7 separate regions of the Mus musculus genome follow, and regions 1, 2, 3, 5, 6 and 7 are each reported to be linked to region 4. The links are microRNA targets in miRTarBase. Many come from high-throughput screens and were not tested one by one. Region 4 holds a microRNA gene; each other region holds the end of a gene's coding sequence.

Region 1 (3,095 bases), not on the chromosome of region 4:
TGTGTATTCTGTCAGGAATCCTTGTCTTGGCCTTGCCTATTGCCATTATTAATGATCGATTCTCTGCTTGCTACTTCACCTTGAAACTCAAGGAAGCAGCTGTGAGACAGCGTGAAGCTCTCAAGAAACTTACCAAGAATATAGCCACTGACTCATATATTAGTGTTAACTTGAGGGATGTCTATGCCCGGAGCATAATGGAGATGCTTCGATTAAAGGGCAGGGAGAGAGCAAGTACTAGAAGCAGTGGTGGAGATGATTTCTGGTTTTAAGTTTACCTTCAACTTATTTACAAAACCTCTGTATATTTAGCTGGATTGATGAAGCCTTGCTGCTATGGATATCTGTATATTGATGATGACTTTCTTGAGCACTTCTCATCTTCTTTCTGGTGTATTGATATCCTAGAATATTTAACATCTCCTATAGCAACTACTGATTATTTTGACACACATCTTTAACATAGCCAATTAATACAACCAAAATCAATTGGGAAAGGAAACACATATTTGAATTTTCAAATATCAATTAATATAATTTCATACATCAAAATTTAAAGATTCATGTGTCTTTATTGTTGGGCTTTCAGTAGCGCTATAGTTTCTGTTTTTAATGGAAGTCGAATTCTACAGTCCAGAGGGGTGGGAGAATAACTGAACATTTAAAAACACACTGAAGAAATTTTTGCCATTTAAAGATTTTTCTCCAAATAAGTTATTTCTTTCTCTATCAAGTAAAGCCACTGAGTATAAAGATAAGCTTTGCAATCAAACACTTAAGCTTAGTAGCCGTAGTGAGTACCTCATCTTCGATCAAGTACAAGTCACTGGGTCCAACTGGACCGAGCTCTGCCCTCCATCAGTTCAGTTGCGAGAGGAAGCCTCAAACTGAAGAGTGGAGTAGGTGAGACTTCAAGTGCCTAGGCAGCTTCATCTTCCCAGCTGAGTGTGATGTGTGAAGAAGAATGCAGCATAGCTCTCTAGGAAAATTAAATGATTTATAAAACATCTCATTATAGATGAATTATTTAAGCTATGCTTTCAAAATCATGAATATGTAAAACTGAAGTAGTAAAGATCCTAAATTTATCCATCAAAAAGATTAGATAGTCTTTTCATAAGTGGAAATATGTTGGATGACATCATTAGATGAACTTGTAGATCTTTTTATTTGTTAAAAACAATATTGTGAGAAGCTTTCTGACTGTTGAGGTAAATAACAAATGTTTAGATGTCACCATCACTTCTTTGGTATTTATAGTAATACTACAATGCCTAGACATTGTGAAATATAATTAAACCAAAAAGTTTTAAAGTTAAGAAAAACCCTGGTTCTAAATATTATACAAAGTAATATTTTGAAAAGCTTAACAAAGGATTTCCTTATTGCCTACTTTCTTGATATATGCAATAAAGTTCCTTAAAAAATAAATAAAATTGGCTCTGGGATAGAAATGTTACTCTCCCTATTTATTAAAGCAAATACACATGAAATGCATATGCATACATGCAGAATAACTGCAATATCAAAACTTCGCTGAGAATAGAATTAGGAAAAACACTTAGATGGTAATAAGCATTGAATAACAGTTTCCTTTTAATCCTGTAATGCAAGCCCCAAATCACAACACATGGAAAGCTAAACCAGAAGACACATAAACCTGTAGCCAATTGGACTGCATAGCACATTCTAGGTCAGGTTCATCTGAAGTGCAAGTTCAAGAACACATCAAGGAATGGTAAGACCCTGTCTCAAAAAGTAAAAACAATAATCCTTTGTCTTAACATATGGCTTTATAATTTTTAGTGTTCTGTTTAATGTGTGCCTATATATTTCACCAACTGTATTTAAGGCATCTTACTATCTTACAAACTACCAAGCAGCAATAAAGGTGCCAATCATTGTTATGACATCATAGATTCTAAGTACATTCCTAATTTAGATATGTAAAATCATAATATTTACCACAGAAACAAGGTAACACCTCCTCTTTTCTTATATGCATGCTTAAAATCTGATGAAATTTCCATGGCATGAGTTTTTTTAGTATAATTTTTCTACTTTAATTGTGAATCAGAATACATCATGCATTCTGATTATGGTTTCACTTCTCTCAACTCCTATGAGATCTTTCCCATATCCCCTCACATCAAAATCCACACCTTTTCTTCCCTCCCTTAGAAAACACAGACATCTAAATAATAAAAATAATTATAAATAATAATAATATAAAGTAGGATTTAGAACAACAGAAAAAGAAGAAAAGAGGGGGAAAGCACGGGAAACACTCATAGAAAAGGCACACACACTTGCACACAAAGGAATCCAATAAAAACACATAAATTGATGCCATGATAGATACACAAAGTACCTGTAAGGCTACAATAAATAAAAATAAATAAAAAAATACTTCACAAGATATTATGTGACAAAGAACCTCAAAAGATGCCTCTAAGTTTGTTTTGTCTTGGCTATCTACTGCTTATGATTGGGTTTTCATTCCTGGTAGGAGACAATGAATGGAGAAAACTGATTTTTCATTTATGAGTTGTTATAAACTGGAGATAACTTCCAGGTTAGAGAAAGGGGCTGTGTTAAATTCTCCTCTTGTCTCTGGGAGTCCATCTGGTGCAGAACCAGGCAAAACTCTGTGTACACTGCCACAGTTTCTATGTTTTCATTTGTGCATTGATCTTGTTGTGCTTAGAGGGCTTTGGACCCCCTATTCCCTCTGATTCTTACAATCTCCCTGACTCTTTTTCCACAGGATTTTGTAAGTCTGGAAGAAAGAGGTATGATGGAGACAATCCATTTAGGACTGAGTGTATCAAAGTCTCTTGCACTATGAACATTGTCTAGCTGTATCTTTGTATTTGTTTCAATGTACTACAAAAAGGTATTTCTCTGATGATGACTGAACAAGGCACAAAATTGTGAATATAGCAAGATGTTATTAGAAATCATTTTGTTTTGTTATATTCCTTAAGTAGAACAGTTGTCTTCCCCTTAGGTCTCTGGGCTATTGGTCTCTGGTTATTTACCCTCAAGTAGTGTTAGGGATGGGTTCCATCTCATGGAGTAGGTCTTAATTCAAA
Region 2 (3,095 bases), not on the chromosome of region 4:
TCTCCACTCTAAGCTGAGCCCTTTCACATCAAGACTTATAGGGGAGCAGCTTCTTCAACAAAACCATCTTTGGCCTGGGGAGGGAACTGTGCTCGAGGACAGTGCTAGTGCTGTGCTAATGCACTGGGCAAACGGGATAATGGAAGTACATGGTCTCCCCAGCTGGCTAGCTGGCTAACTGAGCCAGCCATGGCTGACCATGGCTCTGCTGGGGCAAGTGCTCCTTTTAGAAATCACAAGTAGGTATGAAGTTTGGGGTCTGTTCCAAAGGTGGGGTCACTCCTTTGCTTCTAATATCATTAGGAAAGTTTCATTTGGTCCTGGAGCACAGGACAAATCTGTGGACAATGAAATGGGAGAGCTAGAGGGAACCAGAGGAGCAGGGAGAACGTGATGTTCTGGCCGAGGAGGAAGGCAGAACAGAAGGTTAGGGAGCACAGCACTGGCAGCTCCCTGTGGAGCACAGCTCTCGCCTCTGCCAATTCACAGCATTAATGTTAGCCTTCCCCTTGGACAGGTTACCTGGGCTGCAAACGGTCACAGAAAGTCAGTAGTTTCAATCATACACAGCACCCTGTGTGTACAACAATCACATTCTGGATTCTACAAAATCCTGGCCTTTTCCAGAGATATAATTTAGGTAATAAATATTCTCCACCCCGGAGCTGTATAAAACTTCTATAAAAATAGAAACAACATTCTTGGTTCCGGCCGGTTGGGATTCTGAGCAGTGCCTGCCCAACCTAGCATTTTTTTCTTTTTTTTCCTTTTAAAGTTTTTTATTTTTTATTTTTTTTGCATTATTTTAAAAAATTCCATCAATACCCTGGAAGCCTTTAGAACAGTTTTATCTTGAAACACAGGACACTTTTCTCCCAGTGCACAGAATTCAAGTTTACGTGGTTCAGCTTAAGAAGTGTATGTTTCATGTTTAAGAGGACAACAGACTCAACTTATCACTATAAGAGAACAGCTGTCCCAGCATCAATGGGATAACACACCACTAACAACTTCCTGTACAACAGCAAGATGGTCAATCCCTGTTTGTTATCCACAGGGACAGCATGACAAGGAGAGTCCCTATCTGACTTAAAGCAGGTTAGCCCCTTCTAATCTCTGCTGCTAGGAGTCAAGACTTGTAACTTATGAGGTTTAAGCTTCCAATGACCCAGGAACCCAGGCCCTGGCTGTGACTACTAATCATATATTTATAGGGCTACCTCTGCTCAGATGCACATTCCCACAGCTTCTCTTAGAGCAGGAGAGCCCAGAGGCTATGTGGGACACTGGCAAAGGCTGGAGTTAAGACCCATGAAAGGCAGCAGGGAGCTTACTGTAAGCATGATGACAAAATGAACATGGGTTAATACTGAGGTAAATGAACACTAAATCCATATGGAGCCTGTAAACGTCCTATACTTTCTTCTGTCTTCAAGGACAGAAAATGGGGCTAGAGGAGAGGCCTGCCAGACCTTATGGGAACACAGCTTTTGGAGTACCTTCATTAAGGAATCAGAAATGCACTTCTGAACCTTCTTGAATACTAGGCTCTGCTCAAATATAGCAAAGTGGCTTGAAGTGACCTTGATTCAGGCACACCAAGAAGCAGGTCTCTCTTCCCTTAATCAGATGGCTTCTTGACTGCTCTGCCCATGAACTGCACCCTTGTTGGCTAGAGATGCTGTTAAGAGTGTCTTATGTCCCCTCATGAGAAAACTGTGGCCAGAGAAGGAGGCAACATTCCTTGGTGTTATGAACTTCCATATACTTTCTACAAAAGAGACTACTGGAAATGGGTACATTCTAACTTCATGTTAAAATTAATGAAAATGACCTCTCTGGCTGCTTCCCCTAAACAGCCACCAACCAGGCAGGGCAATCAATATAACACGAATGTCGGGCTGGGCTGCCTAGTCATGGGTATCTCCCTCCTATTTGCATATTTCAGGCTAACTGAAAAGTGCATTATTTCATGAGACTTGCTTACCCCCTTTTAGGAAAGAAGGGCAGAAATCCAGGACAAAAATTAGAAAAATAGGTGGCATAAATTCAGCATTTCCACAGAAAGCAGCCAGTTCTAAGGGGTCTAGAAGCTAAGACACCTCACCCACTCACCCACCCCGTACCTCATTAGACTTAGTTCTCACTCTTTCCACACAGGGAGAGAGACTTCGGGGATCAACTTTCTGTTCTGCTCAGCCCTCTCTTTCCATGGTTTGGGGCATGTTCTAATTATCTTTTAAACCCATTTCCCTCTTCCTCAAGGTGGACTGGTGTTGGTCCTTCTCAACAAACTGGTTACAAACACAGCAAACTTTAAATAAAGGGAAAAAGAAACAAAACAAAACAAAACAAAACAAAACCCCTCAGGATATGGCACCTAAACTCCAAAGTAAAACACTGGAAACCAAAGCACAAACTTGTCCTCTGTACGAAGCGACACTCCCACAGAAGGCAGTAGCTGAGTCTTCAGGGCAAGCTGTGCCTGCGAGAGTGGCAGGGATCAGGGTCCAGGGCTGTTAACACACAGCCTTAGGGCTTCGAATGATTAAGGGTGCTCCTCCCCCACTTACCAGAAGATCTTCTCACTCCAGTCTCAGAGGGGAGCACTCAGTAGGGCTTACTATCATTCTTCGAACGTTTGAGCTGCACTTTAAGCCTCTTCATTCCAATTTGAAAGCCGTTCATGGACTGGATGGCAGCTTGAGCTGAGACAGGATTGTCATAACTTACAAAACCTGTGTGTTCAAGCAGAAACCTAGGTGAGGAACCTAACAAAGCAAGGAGTTCAGTCCTTGTTCGTATCTTATTTGTTCTCAGCATGAACGACAATTCTGGCAATGACAACCACATGAAACTACAATCAGGTTCTCAAAGCTACTGCCTGACATTTACCAGTATTCTTTCTCCCCTTGCAAAGCCATTTCTATACACTAGTTCCTCTGGACCAATACTGTGAGCAGAAATCACTACCTCTACTACAGATAAAACTAAAGCTCAGAAAGAGGTCATATGATCTGCTAAGGTCAAACTCAAACTCAGATTTTTCTCAATTTGTCAGCAGCCACTTTCTTTCTCTCTCAGTGGCAAAATAC
Region 3 (3,080 bases), not on the chromosome of region 4:
TCTACCTCCTAAGTGTTAGAGGATTACAGGTATGTGCCACCATGGCTGGTGTATGCCACACTGGGAATGAAGTCCATGCTACCAAATAAGCCATGTCCCAAGCTAGCTTCAACAAGTCTTCATTTGCTGGAGCGAGGACTGGTGTGCAGAACTCCCAGTTTGGCTACTTTTGTTATTTACTTCCTGAAATTTTATCCCTCACTTGGTACAGAATGACCAAGCCCTGACTACTTTTCTTCCTCAAATAGTTACTGCAGAGGCCAGACTTGTGAGCAGCCTGAAGCTCTATGTTCACTCCCAGCCTGGTGGCTCATATAAGCAGACTTAGAAACAAAGCGGTGAGCCAGGAATCACTTGTAGCTCCAGCTCCTACTGCTGCTGCTCCTGCCTAGGGAGGAGTTGGAGAACTGCAGAAAGGAACTCCTTAAATCTGAAAAGTCCTAAACAGATGTCACGTAAGAGTGATGCTGAAGCCGGGCCATGGTAGTGCATGCCTTTAATCTCAGCACTTGGGAGGCAGAGGCAGGCGGATTTCTGAGTTCAAGGCCAGTCCGGTCTACAGAGTGAGTTCCAGGACAGCCAGGGCTACACGGAGAAACCCTGTCTCGAAAAACCAAACCAAACCAAACCAAACCAAACCAAACCAAACCAAAAACAAAACCCCGAGAGTGATGCTGACCAGAGGCAAGATAGAGACAAGTCTGAGAACTGAACTATATAGTGTAAAGTACTGTCCGAGTGTGTAGACAAACCTGGGTAGGACACAGAAGCAAAGCAGTCCCCAACAGCACTATAGAAACTCAGAATCGGACAGGCCAATCACACAGCCCACAAAGGTAGGCTAGATTTTGTAACCCAGTTTGCTGTACAAACTGATCTCCAACCAGGTAAGTAGTAATGTATTGGTTCTAGCTCTTTATTCCAACTATCTGGAGTAGTTCTGTGGCAAAAAAATTTAACACTTAAAGGGTGTTCATCCATTTTACTACTGAGTAACTGACCAGGGCACACCAGGAGACATTCTCATGTTCACAGAAGCTCCTGATCTGCCCGAAGTTTTGTGTCTGAGTATGGACAAGTGCTGTCTGGTACTAACTCTATCTAGTAAGTCAAAGTTGTCCCCACTAGACTGATGGGATGGGACCAGGGAGGCCAGGCTGTACTAAGCTGTCTGGCAAACAGTGGGTCTTGGGTATTCTATGCTAAAATAACATGATTTTAAAGGTCTACTTTCTAAGTCTGAGAACCCTTGTTCCAATGAGATAGGAACTCAGTATTTTTAAATCAGCCTTAACTGTGTGCAAAGACACTAAATCCATACTTTTATGGGGCAAGTGTTAGTATTCAGACTTGTTCTTCAGACTTGTTCATTGTACAAAAAGTGACCACAGCTTCCAAAAGCCAACAGGATCAAAGGCAATGACTTATCCCAATTGACTGCACAGGGCAAAACGATTCTGGAGTATACTGAGTGGCCGATGCAAGGTGCTGACAACTAATAAACTTTAGATGGCAAGGAAAAGATGTGAGCAGTACTTGGCCTGATCAATAGGTCCAATAATGACCAGATCGATGTCTCCAAATTCTATTTGGAGAATCAGATAATTGGAAAAGTTCCTGAAGATGGGAAAAAAAAAAAAAAAAAAAAAAAACAGGTCAGGCTCTTCAAAAACGGTTCCCATTCTTCACAAACTCTGAGCTGTGAGGGAGACTATAAACACGGAGCACAGAAAAAGGATGCCTCAAATGTCCACCTGATAATAAACCTATGAGGTGGTGTCAAAACCAGGTGCGAATAATCCCATCAGGGTTAGGAGCACTGCTTAGGTGCCAAACAGAACCTACTCACAAGACATCCCCAAGGATCCAGACATGCAGTCCCAGAGAGAAGGACACATACAACAAGGCGACTGTTTTAAACAGTCAAGCAGTGGCAGAGGCTCTGCATTTCCAAGGTGATCCACGGAATATTTTAGTTTGGCCAACATGCTTAGAGAAAAGACTAGCACAATGGCTCCATCCTCTCTCAGACCGATCCATGCGATGGAGATTATTTTTTACACAAGCAAAATCAAGAAAAACACTGGAGTTAAGAGGTGGGTTCCAAACTAACGAAGACAGCCAAGTTAGAAAATCTTGTCCAAAATGATCCATGATGCTTGGGAAGACTAATTTAATTTTTTATCATTACTAGAGATTTTACTGAAACAGTGACTTCTTTCTTGCATTTCTGAGCATCTTAACAGCTCTGAGCAGCTCAGGAGAGAGTCCTGAGTACTGCTTTTGTGCTATCCAAGTCTCTTTTAGGCCAATCAGTGTCACTCGAGGGTGGATATGGGGCTCAAGGAACTGTTTGAAGACAGGGGAAGGAAGGGCCTCCTCCTAAGCCTGCTACCAGTCTTCAGGCCTCTACTGTGGACAGTGTGGGACACTATTGACAATATGCTAATGCAAGGAGTCGGAGGGAGCTGGTGTATACACTGAGAAGGGGCTGGTTATGCCAGCTTTAGCTGGAAGAGGAACCTCAGGAAAGCCATGGAGGAGGCAGCTCAAGCTACTTCCTGTGTGCAGAGAATGATACATTAGTTCTTCCAAGGACACGTGGCAAATCCCAGAGAAGCTGTGGAGTGCCTCTTGGATGCTTCCTGCCAACTTCACTTCTTGCTGACGACCCAACAGCTACTTGTTCTAATAGCCAGCTCACTGGTGCAAGCATGCTCCCATGTGGAGGGGTCATCAGGACAGGTGGAGTCTGTAGCTTAGAGCCCGTTGGCATCAATGGCTGTCACAGAGGCAGGTGTTGAGGACCGTGAGGTGGTAGCTGAGGTCTTGTCCAGGGCTGGGCTGGGCACACTGCAGTCAGCAGACCTGGCTGAGCCCCGCCCTCCAGGGAGCAGTGGCCTGCTCTGGCTGTGGGGACTGTGGCCATGTAGACTCTGGCCACAGAGGCGGTGGTGCCGCTCCCAGTCCTTATGCTGGCAGAAGGAGCCGCAGTAGCGAGCAATGTTGCAGCCACTGCACGTCTCACTGGCTTTTCGGCCACAGTTCCAGCAGTTCTGCAAGACACAGGCGTCAGTTAG
Region 4 (3,095 bases):
TGATAATCATGAGGAAAGAAGCCAGCTCCTGCACCACCCTCTCTCCATGGTACCTGAAAAGATGGTTGACCATAGAACATGCGCTACTTCTGTGTCGTATGTAGTATGGTCCACATCTTCTCGTTATCAAAGTCATTCGTGAGGGTTTTCCAGAGACCGAGCCAACTTCATGGGAGATATCCTGTCCTGGCTTCAGCACAGTACTTGGGGAGATGGTAGACTGTCGAGTGTGTGCGTTAATTCCAGCATGTACAGCATGGTCCACCACATCTCTGCATCAGCCGGTCACCAGGGGCTTTCTGAAAGCCATACCAATTGAGAGTAGGGCTCAGGCGGCAGACCCTATCCAACACAGATTACCCAGTGCTTGGCTACAGGCCATGTTCATTACCTACGACTCTGGCCATTTGATCCAAAGCCAATATTTGGCACCCAGCCCAGCCTTACAGGGCATCCTGGAAGTCATAGTGGCATTAAACATGAGTTTGTGGCCATTGCCACACATGCCGATTGCTGGTAGTTTGTGACACTCATTGAGAAGGCATTTTGGAGGTAACACCAAATTAAGTAAAGTGAGCTGGAATCAGCCAGCGTTACCTCAAGGTATTTGAAGATGCGGTTGACCATGGTGTGTACGCTTTATTTATGACGTAGGACACATGGTCTACTTCTTCTCAATATCACATCTCGCCTTGGAAGACTTCCAGGAGGTGACATCTGCTTTGAGGAAGAGCCAGTGTCCCGGTCTTCCTACTGCTGCTGCTTGGTACTTGGAGAGAGGTGGTCCGTGGCGCGTTCGCTTCATTTATGGCGCACATTACACGGTCGACCTCTTTGCGGTATCTAATCCCGCCTTGCGAGCTTTCCTGGAGCTAACACCAGCTGTGGGGTGGGGACACTAAATGTGTGTGCTAGCGCAACCCAGCCAGCGGGTTTGTCTTTTCTTGTGTCTGACAATAACTCTTGTGTGGCAGCCTTCTTCTCAGCAAATTTCTCTGGCTTGGCAGCTTCGTGGGCAGGGTGACTTGCAGACCAGGAAAGTGGCATCGACATGTGATACACGTGTGGGTGCGTGAGGTGGTTGACCAGAGAGCACACGCTATATTTGTGCCGTTTGTGACCTGGTCCACTAACCCTCAGTATCTAACCTTCCCTTGGAGAACTTCCTGGAAGAGATCTCAACTTTTGGGGACAGAGGCAATAAGCCAGCTGTACGCTGTTAGACTTGGAGACAGCATCCTCAGTACTTGCAACATATGTGCCTGTTATGGTAGTATTGGATGGGCTTCCAATGCTGTCCTATACTTGGATCCCTTCCTTGATATGGGGCCATCCAAGTTCAAGAAACGTACCATGTTGTCAGACATGACCAGGGTGTGTGTATGCCATTTATATATGGCACAGGTCGCAGGTCACCTTAGCACACTTGCATGCTAAATCTGTGGGAGGAATCATCTTTGGTTTGGGGGCATCTGTGCCTTTCTGTGGTTACCCAAAATGGTGGTAAGTCCTATAGCCAGTCTCTACTGCGCCACTGCTCTCTGGTTGTGACATAACTTCAGGATCATGCCATGGAGGTCTGCTGTACTGGGGCATGTGATGGGATGGCTGTCAGATATATATCAACTAATGGCTTGCTTGAGCACTTTGACTAACATCCAGTGTGCAACCCTGCATTCAACAGGCCTGCCAGGTCTGAAGGTCACGTTGGGGAATTACCGAGGTAGTCTTGTCAGTGTTCGCTTCTGGTACCGGAAGAGAGGTTTTCTGGGTCTCTGTTTCTTTGATGAGAATGAAACACACCCAGCTAACCTTTTTTTCAGTATCAAATCCCATCTTGGAGGCTTCGTGGTCCAGATCCCAGTCTCAGGGAAGGATGGTCCTGTCAGCATCCAGCCAGGGGACAGGAATAACTGGTTCTCCACAAAGCCAGCGAGTGGATTATCGTTCTGAATGGTGTCCTTTGTCCTCTAAACCCTCCCAGGCCTGCCAGGTCTGAAGGTCCAGTTTGGGAAGGTGTCATTGTTATTGTTAACTGAGGATGTGGAAGAGGGGTTTCTGTGTTTGAAACACATTTGGTCAACCTCTCTTCCCATCAGAACAAACTATGGAGGCCTTCTGGTCCATACCTCAGCCTCAGCTGAGGACACACTAATAGTTATGAACAAGTGAGTGACGGACAAAACCCATCCCATACATCAGATTTCTGTTGCCTGTGCTTCTAACCTTCAGTATCTTGTCCATTCTCAGGAGGACTTCTCAACCAATATGGTGTTCCAAAGTTGGGGAAGATGGCAGCCACCGAGGCAACTCTACCCCAGGTCATCACAGGTAGGTTGCACCCACTTTGCTTCTAACAGGTTAGACACAGCCACCCCCACACATGTCCAGCATGCTTTGGAGGCACGGTGATGGGCTTTTAATCAGCCAACCCCTGCTATAGGACTGTCTATTGTAGAGAACACCCACTGTGTCAGATGGTACCTAGATCCATGCTATTCACACACACCCACATCCTTGTAATAAGAGACTTGGAATCAGCAGTGTTCTAGCAGTAGGAAAGCAAACCTGAAATTGGCACACACATTTGCCCAGTGAGCTTTAAGATATGAAATCTGGAGCGGGGCAGTGGTGGCGCACGCCTTTAATCCCAGCACTTGGGAGGCAGAGGCAGGTGGATTTCTGAGTTCGAGGCCAGCTTGGTCTACAGAATGAGTTCCAGGACAGCCAGGGCTATACAGAGAAACCCTGTCTCGAAAAAAACCAAACCAACCAACCAACCAAACAAACAAACAAATAAACAAAAGATGTGAAATCTGTTCTTAGTCCTTAACTCCACCCAGGGTTGTGGTCAGCAGTAGAGCTTTCTGTGGGGTTCCAGGTAGAACACAATTCTCATCTGCAAATCATGAGCCCTTTTCATAGGCATTTCATATCAGATATCTACATTATGATTTATAACAGTAGCAAAATCACAGTTATGAAGTAACATTGAAAATAATTTTACAGTTGGGGATTACCCAACATGAGGAAGTATATTAAAGGGTCACAGCACTAGGAAGGTTGAGAACCACTCGACCAGGGGGTGGAACTGC
Region 5 (3,095 bases), not on the chromosome of region 4:
TGTGTGTTTGGGTGATTGGGGGTCAGTTCTGATAGGTCCAGCTGTGTTCCTGTGACCAGACACTGCAAAGCAAAGCTGGCCTATCAGCTTCCAAGGCTGACAGTCAGCTTGCTTCTGCTTGGAGGCATGTGGCTTGAAGTCTAAGGAAGGCAGTCGCAGCTTGTCACCTGCTGCCTAAGCTCAGCGTGCCCCAAGCCACCAGGTCTCTCCTGCCTAGCATCTGCCTGGCACTGAGCACAGAGGTAATGCCAACCAGAAGCAAAGGAAAGGAGCCTAGTGCTATGGCACACTGAGGGGACTTCGAAGAACCACCCATTGGAAGACAAGTTAATGGCGAGGCCACATTTTCACACTCTCTGAATTCTTCAGTGGCTACCCGCAGTGTCTGGACTTGCAGCATCTCTGGAGTGTTACTCATTCATTCGCCATGCTGTGGATGAGGGAACCCAGAGCGTGGTGCTCAACAGTCACCTGGTACCAGCTGACTGGATGACTCAGAAGTTAGGGTTGACCTGCAAAGGGTTTTGGGGACAGAATAAGATTCAAAGGTCTGGTCTCCATAACAAGGGTTGTGGTGGATGCATGAGGGTGTGTGTGTGTGTGTGTGTGTGTGTGTGTGTGTGTGTGTGTGTAGTATGCATGTATGTGCATTGTTGTTGGAGAAACCGCAGAGTCATGGGTTCTAATCTTTTTGATGAAATAATTGCCCTTCAATGATGAAACTGTGGCAAAAGCTGAAAAACAACTTGATGTCACAGGTTCGGATGTGACCAGGGAAGGTTAATTTTTTAAAGGTCGCTTGTATAATTGTCCCAAGGAAATGGTATTTTTAAACCACAACCCCCTTTCCCTTTAGTTTTCCAGCACTGGGTGGCACAGAGGCTGCCTAGTAGACCAGCCATTTTCTTCTTAAAGTATTGTGCTTATGAACTATCTGTACACATATTTAAACTTGCAGTAAAGAAAGATTTTTTTTAATTGCTAAATTTTATGTGTTCATTGTAGCGCTGTTCCAGGCCTCGTCAGACACGTGGTTGTGAGCATAAGTGAAGAGAGAAAAAAAAAAAAAGGAAAAAGATGTTTTATAATTAGAGATGGGCTGGGCTAGTTCTGAAATGATAAAACCGTCACCTGACATTCGAGTCTCCTCTGAGCGTGGGGGAGAGGGGGTTTCGGGAGCCTGGCTGGCTGCATGGTGGCTGTGTGCAGTCAGTGACCTCCCTGGGACATTAGAGGTATTGTTTTGGGAGGGAGACATCTGGGGACGAGAAGGGTGGGCTCAGGTGGCTGGGCCTGAGGTGAGGCTTGGTCCACGATGCTCCCCACCTTCTTTTCCACACACACCTAAACTTTGCCACAGCCTGTGCCCCACTTTCTGTCCTCCACCAGGTCCTGACCACGGGCTTCTCTGAGAGCCAGATGTTAAGACAAGCTGGTGGGATCCCCACTTTGTGAGAGAAGGGAGAAAGGCCCCTGAGTTCCACCTTTCTTGGCCTCTGAGAGCCAAAGGGCTGCCTCGGCAGGATGCTCAGCCAAGGCCTGGTGCAGATGAAGGGTATGGCATTCCATCTGCTACCAGGGAGGACAGCAGCTTCCCGATGGCAGCCATGCTTACCACAAGCCTCAGGTCCTCTTGTCCTTGTAAAAGTAGCTGCTCACCTGTTCTGACCTCTGTGGAGCTCTGCAGACATCCAATTAGAGTAAATTTCAAGAGCCCCAACCTCTCCCTCCTGGGCAGATGCTCTGGGCAGACACCTGTCCTTGCCCTGGAGGAGGCTGTGGGCTTGGGCAGCCACACATTGGCTGGCTCTACAGCCAGGCCTCCCTCCTCCTCAGGATCGTGACTTTGTGCTTTGACTAACTCCGTGTGACTTCATTTTGGCCACCCTGGAATTATGCTAATCTGTTTGCAGAAATAAAGACAGCAAGTTAAGCAAGCAGGGCACGATCCTGTCCACAGCCACCACTGCCAAGGACCTAGGGGCCAAAGAAGCTCCGATGCACGTCACAGGAGTCGGACAAAGAGGTGGATGGGACAGTGTTCTCTACAGTCTGGCTCAGGCAGGGCTCCACCTGGAACTGCTCACTGAGAGCCAAGCACAGGGGAGGGACAGAGCCAATGAGCCCACCCAGAGGCCAAAGGCCTGAAGAAAGGCTGTGTTCCAGGGCTGAGGGGTGAGAGTTGCCCAGAAGGCAGAGGAGGGAGGCCTCAGGAGGTATCTGGAGTACACTGGTGTCTGCCACAGGAGGAGAGGGTCCCACATACCGTCTATGGCAGCCTCTGAGACCAGGACAGAAACCCCCTTACTGTCCCTTTGGACAGAAGCCACCCAAGATATCTGTGGCCCCAGTTTGGCCACACCAAGGGACACCCACAGCACATCTTTGGGTACCCAGAGACAAACCCACAGACTGGAGGTTGGTGCTGTCAGCCTCTGCTTGGCCACCACACATTTCAACATAAGCCCATCTCTACTTATAAGAAAGGAGTCTGTGAAGGCCCAGGGCAGCCACCCTTATCTGTCCAGCAGCTGTTTCAAAGCCCTTTCTATGTTCATCCTATGCCCAACTCGAGTCACCCCAAGATCTATCAAGTCTTCCTTCTGAAGGTTTGGCAGGTGGCTGCCGTCAATCTCATTGTCCATGAACGTCTCCTTGTGTTCACCCAAGTTCAGACTTTCCAGCCAGTCTGCCACATCTGGTTTCGTCCACAGGTGGACAGGCTTAGTTGTAAAAGGCTTATTTGAGATTGGCTGTTGCAATATTGAAGGAGATGGTGACCTGCTCCGTCCTGCTGGGTTCAAGCCAAAGAGGTCCCCTGCAGGGGACTGGCTCGGAAGGCTAAAGACATCTGAGAGTGTGGGGGAGGGAGAGGCTGCAGTGGCGGACGGAGGGGGAGGGGTGGGCAGGATCTCTTTGCTCAATTCCGTTGGTGAAACCACAGGGCTTGGGGCGCGTCTAGGTCCTGAGGTTCTGCTTTCATAGTCGGGGGGCCGGCTCTGCAGGGTGATGGGCTGGGAGGTGCCAGGGCGGACAGTGAAGGTGACCGTCGTGCTCCGTGTACCTGAGACGGTGCTCATGACCTCCGGGCTTCT
Region 6 (3,000 bases), not on the chromosome of region 4:
CTCTCACTTCATCCACAGACACATGCAGCCGCTACTCAATGCCCTGCCAAGTGTGGGCACATTTGACCCTGGCTTCCGGAGTCCCAGCACGCAGGTAGCCAACAACAGCCACCAGCCTCCACCCCGGATCCAGACCTCTTCAAGCCCTTGGCTTCCCCAGCAGTCCCACTTCACAGCTCTGGCCACCCTTCCCAGTATGCAGCAGAACCCACCCCTGCCAGCACAGAGATCTTCTGCAGAGACCAGCGAGCTGAGGGAGGCGCTGCTAAAGATCTTCCCTGACTCTGAGCAAAAGCTGAAGATCGACCAGATCCTGGCAGCTCATCCGTACATGAAAGACCTGAATGCCCTGTCGGCCCTGGTGTTGGACTGACGGCTGGGCTGGAGCCCACTGATGCTGGGGAACTGCCAACCGTGGGATGGACCATAACGTGAAGAAGCCTTCCCGGAAAGCATTGCTGTGTTGTATAGAAAAAGGAGGGAAATGTTTTATGTATACAAAAGTCTGGGGTTTCAAAGCCAGCTTTTTTCTATATATAAATTATGCTGCTATTACAGACTTAACGTTTTCTGTAAAAGGAAAGTACTCTTTCTGCCTGTTCAGAACTGTTTAATAGCAGTTACTCTTGAGTGTATTTACAGTTTTATGTTTTTTAAACTATTTTCCTTAAAGCTGAAGAAAAAATGACAAATAAATATGGTTAGCCTTTCTAAATAAAATTTTAAAAAAAAATTAAGAAAAAAAAAGGAGTTGCTTCCTTAAGGAAAGCAAGACTTCTTAAAGTCTATTTTCTTGAGGTAATTTGTCCTGTTCACTAAACATGGCGTGTGCTCCCCTGCCTTCATCCCTAGAGTGGGCCTGCTCTGCTCTTGTGGGGCCTTCTCAGCGAGCCATTATGAGAGTGAAGAAGTGGAGCCACTAGATGGCATCTGACACCCGGGCTGTCACCAGTGGCCAGACAAAGTCAGACTGAGGAGCAGGTGGGAAGTCTTAGAGGACGTACAGCCCCAGCATGCTCCCTGACTGGCGTAGCTCCGTAGTGCACTCACCAGCCATGGCCGCCATGCTCCCACCCTGGCTCCACAGCTACCTTAGCCTCAGAAGACAAGGTAGGCACTGAAGCCTCTGGTGAGGAGACCCCCCCCCCCCCATGTGGCGTTTGTACAGCTTTGCCAAAAAGTTTTCTATTCTCAAGGATGACCCAAGCCAATAAATAGCATTAGTCCTTTCAGAAGGGCCTCAAAGCCCCTGCATTTCCCTTCTTTTGTCTACTTAGAGGTTTCTTAGCAGCAATTCCTGAGTCTTTCAGAACCAGTTATCTCAGTATTGTCTCTTCTCGGTGTAGCTTGAAGTCTGTGTCTGTGAACCCCCTCCTGGTCATTCTTAGTGTCTTGGCTCTCACCTGGACCTTCAAAGGGCTTTGTGTTCTCCATCCATGCAGTCTCCAGGCCCTTGTGGTTAAATTCACTGCCCTGTGGATTGTTGTTCTCCCGGTCCCGCAGGTAACCGTGGACTTGGTGCTGGTTTGTTATCCGTAGTGCAGGGACTGTGTAGATCACAGAATGCTGCCACCATGCCGTGTCTTGGTTCATTTGGTCCCTGCACCCATCAGGAGATGAACAGAGCCTTCTAGGTGGCCATACTTACGTGATCTCTCCTGAATTTGTTGATGATCCAGCCTGCTGGGAAGCTGTTTGTCATCTGTCCCTAGGGGGTTTCAGACCTGCAGGCTGTGTGAGTACAGAACAGAGACTTCTGGCCAGCCCCAGGAGTTGACCCACCACAGTCCCCCACCCAGTGCCTCAGCTTGGGAGCACAGCAAAGGTGCCAAGGTGGAGCTGTCTCCAGGGCTTCCTGGTGTGGTCAATCCCAGCCCAGCACTGCTGGGAACCAGGAGAGCCGGGAGTACTCCATAGCTGCCTCAGCCTGATGCTGGCCTGAGGAGCACAGGCTCTCAAAGGCCCTTCGGCTAGCCTGATCTTTGAGTTGTGTGCCTCTGTGTTCTTAGTATTGTTTCTGAGAGATACCTGCCCATTTCCCCTTGCCCCATATAGGAGGGAGGAAAAAGCTGGAGGAAACCAAAAGGCATTAATTACTTTGTAGATTATAATGTGAAATATAATTCTAGATTCTTTGTGAAATCTGTCACATTTAGGTATAACATTTACAGCCCAGTTATCCAGCCACTGAAGAAAGCTCACAACTTGCTTCTTTGCCTCATCCAAAGCTCTGTTGCTGCTAGGTGCTTGTAGATGCTTGACCTCCATCCCTCCAGTGCCTCCTCAGTGAACTTGGGAGCGTCTTGGAATTCCTCCCTGTGTGGAGTGCCTCTGCCTCCTGTGTATCCTGGCATTTGGTTGAGGCGGCCAGTGCAGCTAAGGCTGATACCTTTGGTCATTGGACAAGGTGTCGTGTGTGTGTGTGTGTGTGTGTGTGTGTGTGTGTGTGTGTGTGTGTGTGTCCTGGTCCAGTGTGGTTGACAGGCTCAGCTGTATTTCTAGGACATGTTAGGCATGAAAGAGAGCTCCACCTCTCCTTGCCAGTCCCAAGTACCTAGCCCTCCCCCTGGGAGGGGCATCTACTGCAGGCCCTCTGCACCAGGCTCACCCAGGCCCTTGCCTGCTCCCCATACCTCTCCAGGGCTGTCCCTCCTCAGCATTCTGAGCCACCTCAGCTGGGTCCATCAGTTGCACTGTTCGCCCGAATCGTTACTTGGTTCCTCTGATCCCTTTAGTTAAAACACCCTTCGTTCTGTTGCTAATGCTTCTCTCTGGCTTCCCACTTTCCCCTCCCAGATTTGGAAACTTGGCTTCTGCCCACCACATGGGAGTAGCCTGGGAAATCACTGGTTGCCATTTCATCATTAATGGAGTAGCTACAGACAGCAAAGCCATTGGCCTCCCTTTCTCTGTTTTCCTTCTTGAAGCGCTCCATTCCTTTCTTCTTGAAGGCCTAGCCTTAATTCAGTTTCTCAGCAGGTGGCTCTCAAGGTGAACCAC
Region 7 (3,095 bases), not on the chromosome of region 4:
TTTTGCCCAAAATTCTATGGAATATTTGTCTTAATTTTGTGTTTATCCCATCTTACAATCTTCCACACTCAAGATCTGTAGACTTAAAATAGATTCTCAGTTTATAATTTGGTAACAGTCTGTAGCCACCATGGAAAGTCCTCGTCCAAATGCAGCAGTTTCTGCACTTGAACTTTCTTGTCTTGTCACTAATTAAAGAATGGAAATTACAGACTTCCCCTGTGTGGGTGTCATACTTTTTACAGACTGCTTTGCTTTTGTTTTTTGTTTTGTTTTTCTTTATAAAGACAACTCACTGTCCCTAAATTCTTCATTGCCTTCCAAAGAGGAATGGATTCGAGCTCAGAAGCCAGTTTGGATTTCTGGCACTTTTAACTGAGACTATGGACTAGCGTTTGGAAATATATACAAACATGAATTCAAGAATAACATCCCCCAATGTTGCTTTGACCATATCTGTGATTCAAAAAAAAAAAAAAAAAATTCCAGTGAGCCTACATCTGGCAACATTCAAGAAGAAAAGGAAGGAAGGCAGTTCAAAGCATCTGTTCACTCTATCCAAATGTATTTGGATGCAGGTATTCTCAGCCTCTGTCCTTTACAACAGGAGGAAAACCACAGATAATACACAGCAATTAGGTCTGAGACCATCCAGAACTATCTGAAACATTTATAGTCAAGGGGAAAATTTCAAAGGGGGGTAGGAATTAAAAGGTTAAGGAAAATAAATAGCTGAATTTCCATGAGAAATAATGCTTTAAATTCACACAGTAAACATCTTAGTGGTGTTTTGTTTTGCTTTGTGATTTATGGTCTGTAGATGCAACTTCTTAGACTAAAGATAACCAGGATCTAAGATACATAATTTGGTGACCCAAAAATTACTAGATACAACTTTCGTTAAAATAACAACTGATTTATGCTTCACTTTCTTAGATATGAAACTTTTTAATAGTTGGCCTATAACAAGTTTGAAAAGTTTTTCTGTTATTTGAGAGGAAGTTTGCCAGTGTTGTGCCCAGAACCTGATTGGTCTCATCACAAAGTATTACCACAAAACACTGCACCCAATAAATGCATTTCTTTCAGGCAAAAACATTACAAGTGAAAATGTCAACAAAGCCATTCATTCTTGTTAACCCTTCTTCAATCTGGAATAAGTAGAAATGTATGGAACCAGGAATTTTAAACAGTGTTTTTAATTGAAAATAAAGCTAAAGCATGCTTTTCAACAGTGCAAATTTCCATAATTTTGATTTACTGCTCTCATCTTTACAACACAGTCCACCAGCATGGCCTCACCAAGGGCTAGACCACTTGCCTGTGGAACTACTTTGATTTTAAGTGCAAATATAGATAGTCACCTCTGATTGTCACTTGCAGTAGAAACTCTCCTGTTCTATACACAGGATGGCCTGAAACAGAAGTTTAGAGAGATGCAGAAAAAAAAAAGCATAAGGTAATAAAATCCAAGTGCCTGAGTTCTAATACCAAAAAGCCCTGAAATCAGTTATTTTTCACTTGGGGTGTTATGACTCTTTTTCTTGGTTGTATTTACTGCTTGGACACTAGGATGAGTTAGACCATTAAACATCCTGCTATTAAGAGAAATGTTTTAATTGTTTTGAAAGCTTGAAGAGTTATCTTCAGATCAGAAGACAAGCAGGAGCACAGCAAGAGTCATCCTATTTTAAATGTTTGGGTGAGAGCGCAGAAGGGGCTTTTCCAGTTGCAAGGAGTGACTGTAAAGGTTAAAAAAAAAAAAGTATTTTTTTACTTCTCACACAATGGGCAGCTTTTAAATCAGCATCCAATCAGGACTCAGACCCCCAATCTTTCCATTAAAAAACAAAACAAAACAAAACAAAAAAACAGTTAAGTGCAACTACTATTGGAAAGGGAATCTGGGTTTAGAAAAAAAATAAAAAAGACACCCCACAAATAAGAGCTCCAGAAAATTACATTTGGGCTCACAGAAACTTCTTGCTACCTCATTGTGTAACCATGTAACCTAACAAACTTTCACTGAATACCAGTTACACTTTCAGGTCTGAAATCTAGTGCATAAACTTAATGGCTCATTGTGATATTTATTATTCAACCTTTTGACATTTATTTGTAGCAGTTGAATTGAGGTACCGGTGCATTATTACCATTGAAACAGTAAAGTGTTCCAGCTCTACCATAATAACTGAGTGTTACTTGAGTCTTTAGCCTGAAGTAGTCTGTGGTATGTAAACCAACCCTTCTCCCACCCCTCCCCCACCATAAAAAAAAAAAAAAAACAACCCGCAATGGGAAAAAAAAGTAATCCGATTTTTGTCTTCAAAATGCGATAAACCAGGACTCCAAAAGGGGTGTAACACCATTAATGGACTTGGTACAAGCCATCCTGTGCAGTTTACAACAAAAGGAAGGTAATATGGTTCGAGAAAATATCTTCCAAAACATTTTTTTATGAATTAAATTTCCTGAATTTGTGACTAGGTGGAAGAGGTATTGCAGAACCGCCCAGCTGCCATTTCCATATAGGATGGGCCTTGTGAGGAGGTTGGGAATCCTTAGTGGTGTTTAAGGAATACGCTGGCCACAAATCCCCATCCTTCCCAATAATGAGTGAAGGTGGACAAGGAAAATTTGCCATGAAATTAAATGGCCTTTTCACTGCTGATGCTACATTGCTGGCTACCTTTTTGCGTCTGTTTAAAACTGTAAAGTCATCCAGTGTTCCTTCATGTGTCTCAGTTTTACCTGTAGGACGAGGGCTTCTAGCTGATTTCAAATTTGGTTTGACTGGAGGTGTCTGAAGGACTGGTCGTTTGCCCAGTACTAGTGTCCGGTAATTTTTTCTCACCCTGGCACCAAATTTATATTCCCCATCCTCAGGTTTTGGAGATCCTAAAGTGCATGAGAGGCCCTGACTCTGAGCCAGTGGATTTAAGGAAGGCGTTTCTTTCTCAGGGCATGCAAAACCTTCCTTGGCTGTGGGTACCAAGGCGTCCTCCTCCTTCTTCTCAGTCATATTGTAAAACTCACCCTCGGCATCATTGCACTCCCACTTTAGCTTATTTGTAATAAGCTCAGGTTCATATTCT

The links. Region 4 holds the annotated microRNA mmu-miR-758-3p (UUUGUGACCUGGUCCACUA, at 1,114-1,132, shown strand). A microRNA usually pairs through its seed, bases 2 to 8, with sites in the 3' UTR of a target mRNA and lowers its output. Matches are read on the target gene's strand: a 7mer-m8 pairs with bases 2 to 8, a 7mer-A1 pairs with bases 2 to 7 and ends in A, and an 8mer does both.
Region 1: miRTarBase lists Kcnv1 as a target of mmu-miR-758-3p. The part of its 3' UTR that is shown has no 7-base or 8-base seed match.
Region 2: the mRNA of Celf1 is a reported target of mmu-miR-758-3p. The part of its 3' UTR that is shown has no 7-base or 8-base seed match.
Region 3: miRTarBase lists Cbfa2t2 as a target of mmu-miR-758-3p. The part of its 3' UTR that is shown has no 7-base or 8-base seed match.
Region 5: miRTarBase lists Shank2 as a target of mmu-miR-758-3p. Seed matches in the 3' UTR shown: 7mer-A1 at 1,449-1,455.
Region 6: miRTarBase lists N4bp1 as a target of mmu-miR-758-3p. The part of its 3' UTR that is shown has no 7-base or 8-base seed match.
Region 7: the mRNA of Skida1 is a reported target of mmu-miR-758-3p. The part of its 3' UTR that is shown has no 7-base or 8-base seed match.

What each region holds. Positions count from the first base shown.
Region 1 is chr15:45,106,151-45,109,245 of GRCm38, reverse strand. Kcnv1 (potassium channel, subfamily V, member 1) reads left to right here. Exons shown (of 3, transcript NM_026200.3): 3 at 1-2,962. The coding sequence ends at 272. Among named protein-coding and RNA genes, the nearest start is that of Kcnv1, 7.2 kb to the left of the region's middle.
Region 2 is chr2:91,012,881-91,015,975 of GRCm38, reverse strand. Celf1 (CUGBP, Elav-like family member 1) reads right to left here. Exons shown (of 14, transcript NM_198683.2): 13 at 2,574-2,738. The coding sequence ends at 2,611. Among named protein-coding and RNA genes, the nearest start is that of Gm13777, 17 kb to the left of the region's middle.
Region 3 is chr2:154,534,860-154,537,939 of GRCm38, reverse strand. Cbfa2t2 (CBFA2/RUNX1 translocation partner 2) reads right to left here. Exons shown (of 11, transcript NM_172860.2): 11 at 1-3,056. The coding sequence ends at 2,760. Among named protein-coding and RNA genes, the nearest start is that of 1700003F12Rik, 13 kb to the left of the region's middle.
Region 4 is chr12:109,711,745-109,714,839 of GRCm38, forward strand. It overlaps Mir758 (microRNA 758), which reads left to right and starts at 1,066; the gene lies at 1,066-1,146. It overlaps Mir380 (microRNA 380), which reads left to right and starts at 59; the gene lies at 59-119. Mir1197 (microRNA 1197) reads left to right here and starts at 573; the gene lies at 573-692. It overlaps Mir323 (microRNA 323), which reads left to right and starts at 764; the gene lies at 764-849. It also overlaps Mir329.
Region 5 is chr7:144,420,557-144,423,651 of GRCm38, reverse strand. Shank2 (SH3 and multiple ankyrin repeat domains 2) reads right to left here. Exons shown (of 16, transcript NM_001113373.3): 16 at 1-3,093. The coding sequence ends at 2,517. Among named protein-coding and RNA genes, the nearest start is that of Gm34621, 2.6 kb to the right of the region's middle.
Region 6 is chr8:86,842,060-86,845,059 of GRCm38, reverse strand. It overlaps N4bp1 (NEDD4 binding protein 1), which reads left to right. Exons shown (of 7, transcript NM_030563.2): 7 at 19-3,000. The coding sequence ends at 373. Among named protein-coding and RNA genes, the nearest start is that of Gm33877, 8.1 kb to the left of the region's middle.
Region 7 is chr2:18,043,155-18,046,249 of GRCm38, forward strand. It overlaps Skida1 (SKI/DACH domain containing 1), which reads right to left. Exons shown (of 1, transcript NM_028317.3): 1 at 933-3,095. The coding sequence ends at 2,456. Among named protein-coding and RNA genes, the nearest start is that of Skida1, 3.7 kb to the right of the region's middle.